Oryzias latipes: one gene and its partner. The protein of the gene in region 2 interacts with the protein of the main gene of each other region in a pairwise test. Links are inferred from orthologs where the notes say so. Each region holds a gene or a part of one and is shown on either strand. Other genes may lie near its edges.

The links. The genes of interacting proteins can lie anywhere in the genome.
Region 1: the proteins of pak5 (region 2) and prpf31 interact in binary tests that used the Homo sapiens proteins (3 or more experiments, as listed by UniProt). The two-hybrid records come from large-scale screens. The link is inferred for Oryzias latipes from reciprocal best matches to the Homo sapiens genes PAK5 and PRPF31.

What each region holds. Positions count from the first base shown.
Region 1 is NC_019874.2:19,364,259-19,368,335, forward strand, and holds the start of prpf31 (U4/U6 small nuclear ribonucleoprotein Prp31), read right to left. Parts: upstream 2,826-4,077; 5' UTR 2,653-2,825; intron 2,384-2,652; coding exon 2,171-2,383; intron 2,091-2,170; coding exon 2,030-2,090; intron 1,940-2,029; coding exon 1,856-1,939; intron 1,762-1,855; coding exon 1,664-1,761; intron 1,467-1,663; coding exon 1,360-1,466; intron 1,227-1,359; coding exon 1,057-1,226; intron 962-1,056; coding exon 804-961; intron 707-803; coding exon 617-706; intron 542-616; coding exon 414-541; intron 1-413. UniProt on the Homo sapiens protein: Involved in pre-mRNA splicing as component of the spliceosome. Required for the assembly of the U4/U5/U6 tri-snRNP complex, one of the building blocks of the spliceosome.
Region 2 is NC_019882.2:2,170,806-2,174,455, forward strand, and holds part of pak5 (serine/threonine-protein kinase PAK 5), read left to right. Parts: intron 1-2,086; coding exon 2,087-2,926; intron 2,927-3,650.

The sequences.
Region 1 (4,077 bases), on a different chromosome or scaffold from region 2:
TTGACTAATAAACACATTCAATATCTCTTTCACTAAAACATTACATCTGTGATAAATTCAACATTTGTCACAATTATGCAGATTAATTGATTGTACTGCAGTTTAAGATATTACAAAATACTTCAAAGTAAACTAATTGGACAAAAATGAACTGAGTAGGGCTGTCCAAATAATTGTATTTCTCCATTTAGTTAGTTCTTTGTTAGACAAAAGTATTTCTATATCAAAGATGTTTAAAACAACAATTACATTGCAGCATATTTTTAAAAGAACTCTGGCAAAAGAGCAGTTTTTGAGAATTATAAAATTCCTTAAATAGTTTTGAAGCCATTGACTATATTTATAATACAAACAGAGGTTTTGATGAATTTACAGGCAATTCTATCAAATACTAATAACCATAAGTGACTGACCTCCTTCCTCCTCTCTTCTTTCTCTGTCCGTCCAGCGGGGCTGGCAGTGGTTTGACCTGCTTCACTGGTGGAGGTTCCTGCCATTTATCAAACTTTCTCTCTATTTCTTCTTTTAGGTCATAGCCAACCTGCATTACAAAGGGAGTTGAATAACAGAGACAGAAATTATATTTCTGAATGTTCCTTTAATTTGAGATGTTTACCTTTCCATCTGGACTCTCGTGGAAACTGTCTACTCGAGAAGCCAGAGTGCATTTCGCGGCCACCAGACGAGCTGCCTTCCTCCTAAGGTCCTGAGGGGGGAGAACAAAAGGGGAAAGGAGATAACTAAGGCAAACAAACATTAGATGTGGAAAAGGTACTTGTTATTCTTGAATATGGTGTACTGACAGGAGGCAATGACTGCACAACATCACAGTGGTAGATGTAGCCCGTGTGAGGAAGCAGCGATGTGCTACTGAAGCCTGACAGAGTTTTCCTTTGGGCTCCCAGCAGCATCAAGTTGCAGGCTGGCATCTTTGAGAGGTTTGTTAGGCCTCCAGCAATGCCTTCAGCCAAACAGGGAAAAAAATTCAAAAGTAAGAAAAAAAAATGTATGGGCATAAAAAAACTTGATATTTTCTAGATAGTTTCACTTCCTCACCCATGATCTTTGCTGCAGTCGATGCTCCCACAATGATTGACAGGTTTGGAGCTATAAAGGACATTCTGGACTCTACATATTCATATATCCTGTGTTTTGACTGGTTGAGCTCCAGAGCCATGTCACAAGCCTCCTCAAGCTGCTTCAGCTCATCTTCCGTTAGCAATGACCTTAAGAGGAAAACAATAAAATATATAAAGGGAGTGTCTATGTAAATAAAATAAACAACAGACATAATAATGGAAATGTTAAAAAAAAAAGTTTATTGTAATAGGACACAAGTACCAACATTCTTAAACTTACCCCTGTGTAGTTGATGCAGTGACACTGACGACCATAATGGTGGCATTGGTTAGAATTTGCTGCAGGGTTTCATTGTTTTTACATTTCTCCAGGTTGTTTCCCAATTCCTTTATACGAAGCACACATTTACAACAAAAAAAGGGGGAAGATTTAGAGGTTAGATGCAAAAAGAAAAAAACAAACCTATGCAGAATAATGGAAACCATTCAGCAAATCTTTTCTTTTAATAGAAGAAAAACAAAATCAAAAATTTGATATCCGGTAACTTCAACGTCTCCAAACTTATCTTTTAAGATCAACAAACCTTGACTGTGCGAATGTAATCTAAAGAATCTGGAACCAAAGACTCAAGCTCTGGAAATCTCTTGGAGTATTTGTCCCTTGTAAACTTGTGAATGATGTCTGAAAAGACAGGAGAAACACAGACCTCACACTTTCAGTTGAAAGAATCCAATTTCTTCATTAGGTTTTGTCGCACAATAAAAGTCCAACTCACTAAGCTCATTGTCAATTTCAACTGTAAGATTGTTGGCTGCAACAATCAGCCTGTATTCTGGGTCAGCCTCAACTGGTCCTGAAACTGAAAGAAAATACAGGTAAACAGGAGAAAAAGAAATGGAAGTAAATCAGTAACATTTTCTGTTAAAATGCACATTTTTTCAACACTCACCATCTGAATTCTTGCGCTGTTTTCCAATATATCCAGATATTTTTTCAATTATATCTGAAAACTGAAAACAAGCAGTTAAAAGGGACTGCCTTCAGGTAGTGAAAAAAAGGAACTCTTTATGAGAGTCAGCTAAACAAAGACCTGTTTGCTATTGCGGAGCTTGGCGATAGACGTAATGCTGTCAGTTTTACTGTAGTCCACCTCCATCTCTTCGGGGATATCTTCCAGTCTTTCTGTCCTCCCTGAAGCCCCCTCTCCATCACTCCCTCCTTCCTCCCCCTCTGGGTACAGCCCATCTTCCCCCTCATCTCCAGCTTCCTCCAGGTCAGCCAGAAGCTCGTCAGCCAATGACATCTGCAATCAGAGTAAAATTCATGATCCATCTTCTAACAATGCATCTTTCAGCTTAAACGAGAGTAAAAGTGTGGGCAGTTGTTAAATTTGTGTTTATTGCAATTATTTTCAAAAGGAAGTAGATCTAACGAAAGTCTATCAGTGTTATTTTTTATAAACATCCCGTTGAAAAAAACAAAAACTGATATCAGTCTGCTATTCTGTGTTAGCTAGCTAAAGTTAGCAAACGTTCACCAAACGTCATTCAACACTGAAAAATAGTAACTTACGTCGCACTTTCAAAATGAAGTAAAACAAAACAAAAATATATTTATATTTTTTTAAAAGTCACTTTAGACAGGAAGGGTTCTAATAGAAGCCAATATAGGTAATGCTACTTGTGCGGCTTCTTGCTCCTGTTTACAACATAAAGCTCACGATCCGGGTGGTTTGTCGCAGAATAAATACGTCACGATTTCCGCATGGGATTATGGGTAAGTATCCCCTTTCCTTAAGAGATGAGAAAATAACATACGGGCTTCTTTCTAAAAATGAATGTTCGGTCTTTATGAGTTTACTTGGTTGCTTTAATTACCTTCTCTTAAAAAATGTGTAGTAGGTCGCAACTAAATACATATTTATTCGAATAAGGAGTTACATTTCAGGCCACAAAATAAAAACACAGGTTTTTTTCTAGTATTCCGAAAATGACTTTACTATAACTCTTCTTTTATTTGTAGTTCTTAAAATATTGTTTTAAAAATATTTTTCTATTCTTAATTTATTTTATATTATTTATTAGACCCTTAAAAGCTACCTGTACATAATAGGAAGAGAAGTTAAAAAAACAACAACAAATAACTAAATAAATGACTAGTAAGTTTCTGTGACAAACTGTTAAAAAAAACGTATTCAAAAGTGATGGGACAAAGTAAGAACTTAAAAACTTTACATTTTATATTTAAATTGCGTTTTAAAATATTTACACACAAAATATAATACATACATGGCAGCAAAGTACCAGTCTTGCATTCAGGAAACTAGAGTTTGGTTAACTTTTTTTTTTTTTTTTTTTTACAACAATTTTAATAAATTATGATACTTCACCATAGCACACAAAAACTTTATAGAAATAAGACAATTACCTTTACAATCAAAATTTCATTCACAAAACAATGGGCCACAAATTCTTTATCAATGGACGTTTATGCTTTGACCAATTGTGGTTTCCCACTTTATTAGACTTATATTTATTAACTGTTCTATTTTATACATTTTATTCTGTAACTGACTTCTGCTTTCAGTAGAACATATTTAAATATTACTTCTAATTGACACAATATAGGGACTCAGAAAGGACCCTGCCCTTGCAACAAATTGGTGAGGTATTTGAACGAATGAACAATGACTGGGACATGACCCGTATTGGATAAGAGGCTCACATTTTGTAGTTTTTATTGTACATCCTCCCCTTTGAAACCCAGTTTTTAAACAATACAATTTTAAACCAACATTTAAACAGACTAAACAAATGGACTAGTTGGACCTCAGCTGCATGATTGATGGCTATTAGTAGAAAATGAAATAAATTAACAAATACACAAGCAAATGGTCTTATTTACTGATGAGCAACTGTTCTGTCATGCTAAGCTACATAAACGGTCATTAAACAAGATAAAGAATGACAAGACTGCTAATAATATAAACATGAAAAT
Region 2 (3,650 bases):
TTAAAAAACAAGCATAAGAAACAAATCCATGAGAAGAAATATTTTTCTTGATGTGAGCTCAGTTCTCCTGAAAGTCTGTCCTCAGAGCTATAGGTTTCCATTTGGTGACTAGTTTTAAGAACGACCCGTTCAGATGCTTCTCTCTGCTTCAGTTCATGTTGTTTTTCATTGGAAATGATGTCCTCATAAAAATTTTTTTTTAAAAGGTTTATAATATGTTATAAGGGATGAAATGCCAGTGGAACTTGTAGAATTTGTCCTGGTAAGACTTCTGAAAATAATAATAGGTTAAAGAAAGAAAAAGATCAAAGTAATAAATAGAAAAACTCTAAACACTTATATTAAGTTTGCTTCATCAAATAAAAAAAATGATGTCTTAAAGTAAGTATTGTTAAAAAAATAGCTTTTATTTGATCTTCAAGAAGGTTTATTTATACACTTTCCCCTCAAAATTTATACTGATTTAGGTGATACAACGTTCCAAATATCTGTATTACTGGACTAAAAATCCTCTTAAAGCCAGACTAGAGTAAAACGTACAAAGATAAATTCCATTTTTTTTTTGCTTATATTTTCTTTTCTTTCCTTTTGAAGCAATAAATAAATAAAATACAAGATATTTTTTCCTAGTTTCAAGTGAGAAATCTGCTAAAAGAACTGGTAGAATTTGTGTTATTGAGATGATTATTGATGTCCTGCTCTTTTAAAACTAAATTTAACCAAGAAATTAGCATAAATACTTGTATTCTTCTGCTAATCGAAATTAGCAGACATTTTTGTAGTACAACAGTCCAACTGTTTCTCGACTATAATCATCTTAACGGAGACTAGTTATACGTTTTAAGATGAATTTGTCTTTGAAATAAGATATAATCGTTATGAGTCAGATAAAATGTTCCAGGTTTCTCTAAATCAAACAAGTCTTTTATTTTAAACAAGACCACTCAATATTCATAAATAAAACTTGTGCTAACTTAAAAGAGGATGTTTCAAGATCAATGGATCAACATGAAATCCTGAATTTCTTGTCTTAATTCAGCTCATAACATATTCCTAAAGAATTAAGTTCGTTTTTTTCCGTTGTATCAAAGGGAGTAAAATATTATTTACACCAGAAAAGAGTTTTTCCTGGAAAAGAAATGATGACAAGGGATAAAAGAAGTAATGTAAGTACACAAATATAGTATTTATCATTTTTAAATATTAAATATTGACTTTTATTCAGAAGTTTGGTCTTTCGTGTTAATTTTTCTAACATTTCCATCATGGTTTAGTGTCCAAGAGATCTGGATGTGTTTAAGTCTGACGTACGGAGCAGAAGTGATGCAGTCTGCAGTGACAGCATCCCTGTGCCAGCATTATTACAGTTTATCCCAGGTGTCTCAGCACATGTGACAGACAAACTGACCAGGATGAAGAGCGGGTGACAGTTTTCTTTTTTTATTATTGGGAGAGGAAGCTGCTGATGTGACACTTTTGGTTTGAGAGGAAGATTTATGCAGCGAACAAAGACAAGAAGAGGTTTTGTGAAGCGTGGAGTACAGAGAAGAGGCGGATGAGGTACATGTTAGTAAAAACATAAAGAACTTGTGGATTTGTTTGATCTGCCCAAAAAGCTGATGATGTAAACTGATCTCTGGCCTTTGGCAGGGTTGCCTCCTTTTTTTTATTGCATTCTAAAGATTTGTGCATCATTTTCGTGCATAATATTCTTTGTAGTTCTTGCTGCACAAACGCCAGGAATGCAACCTCCCCCCTCCACGACTCACGACACAGTAAAGAGCTTAAAAAGGTAGGAGGGGATCAGTGGCACCCCTCATGTGTAAGCTGCCTCCATGTGTGTGTGCATGTTGGTGCAGTTGTGCGTCTGAGGGATGAAAGCTAACATCGTGGTTATTAATGCATCCTGCTGAAAAGGAAGTTAATCTGCTGTGAAGGAAGTGGGGGAGGGATTAGTTTGGTCAGTTCACGACTTGTTGGTGATGCTTGATGACAAACGTTTACTGCAAATGTGTTTGTGGAGTCGCGACGGCCTTCCCTTCAGTCCTTCCGTCTTGACCGTTAACTCTGTTCCTTCCACCCGCAGACCATCGTTCGGGGGAACCGGCCGCCCAAAGATGCATCCATCAACGGCCTGCTGGAGGAGTTCGACAACATCTCGGTGACGCGCTCCAACTCCCTGCGGAAGGAGAGTCCGCCCGGCCTCCACCAGGCTGGAATTGGCTCCAAGCCCCTGGGAGGGGGTCATCCCCCCGCTCCCGAGGAGAATGGATTCAACCACTACTACTCCCGCTACTCATGTGACCTGGACACGTCCAGCAGGGACTTTTTACTGGATCCCGGGAAGCCCAGCTTCTCCATCGACGGGGACTGGGCTGTTGGGAGGCACTATCGATTCACCAAGCAGAATGGCCACTCGCATCTCATCCGTAGCCCCTTCTACCCGGACGCCATGCCTCAGAAGTCAGACTATGGCAAGCTCCCCCCAGACTACCACACCTACCTGGAGAGCAAAGGGCGCTCCGCCGACGAGGTGGCCTCCACGGTGGGGAGCGGAGTGGGCTCCAGTGGGTACTACCGCGCTTCGGTGGGGGGCTCGTCCAGCCAGGACTACCGGGACACGTCAGTGGGCACGCCGTCCCGCGCCTCCCTCCACAGCGAGCAGATCACCTACCCAGACAGCGAGTGGAGCTACGGCGGCCTGCGGGACGAATACGACAAGCGGCCCAAGAGTTCCTACGTGACCCAGACCAGTCCCACGCCAGCCATCCGACAGAGGTCGCGCTCAGGATCCGGCCTGCAGGAGCAAATGGTCCCCTATGTGGCCGGGGGCCCTTTCAAGAACCCCCCCCAGGCTCATTCATACAGCTCCTACACCTACCCCCGCCTCTCTGAGAGTCTGGCTAACGCTCAGGCCGCAGCCAAGGTAAGCAGCCGAATCTGCAGAGGATTCCTGAAATGAGGGTTCATCTTTACGACTGAAAATTCCCCAAACTGATGAAATTACAGCAAATCATCCTTTGTATGGCTGCAGCTTCTTCCAAAGCTTCTCTTTTACTTTCTGCAGCTCCTTCCAAACCCTCCTAGACACATTTTTCTTTTCTTCCTGTAAGATAGATGGTGTCACTTTTAATCTCCTCTTCCCTAATGAAAGCGGGCGCCGCCTGCAGAAGAATCACCCGTCCCCAGCAGCTACTGTCTCTGCGCTTCGATCAATAAAGACTCGGCCTGGACATTAATTAGAAAACTTTAAATGGCAGTGCAAGTAAAGAAAAGGGGTGGGAGGTCTTGACAAGCAAAAGAAAAGTAGAAAATGAAATTTCCTGTAGAGGCGTTTGATATCTGGAACAAGAAAACCAACCTTTATTCTGATTGGAAAGAATGAAAAAAAATCCCATTTTGTATTTTTTTGTAAACAAGGCAACAATTTTGACATGAAATAAAAACAAATGTGAATAAATCCAATAAAAGTTAAGAGTTGCATTTTAGATTTGGCACAAAAAAGTCCAACTTTACCCGAAAATAACAGCATATCCACGTATGACTAGGGCTGAAGTAATATCACTGCAAAAAGAAGTAGCTAAAAACAGGAAAAGGAAACTAATCTTGAGAAAAAAATCCCTAGGAAGTAGAAAAATGATCTGCCCATT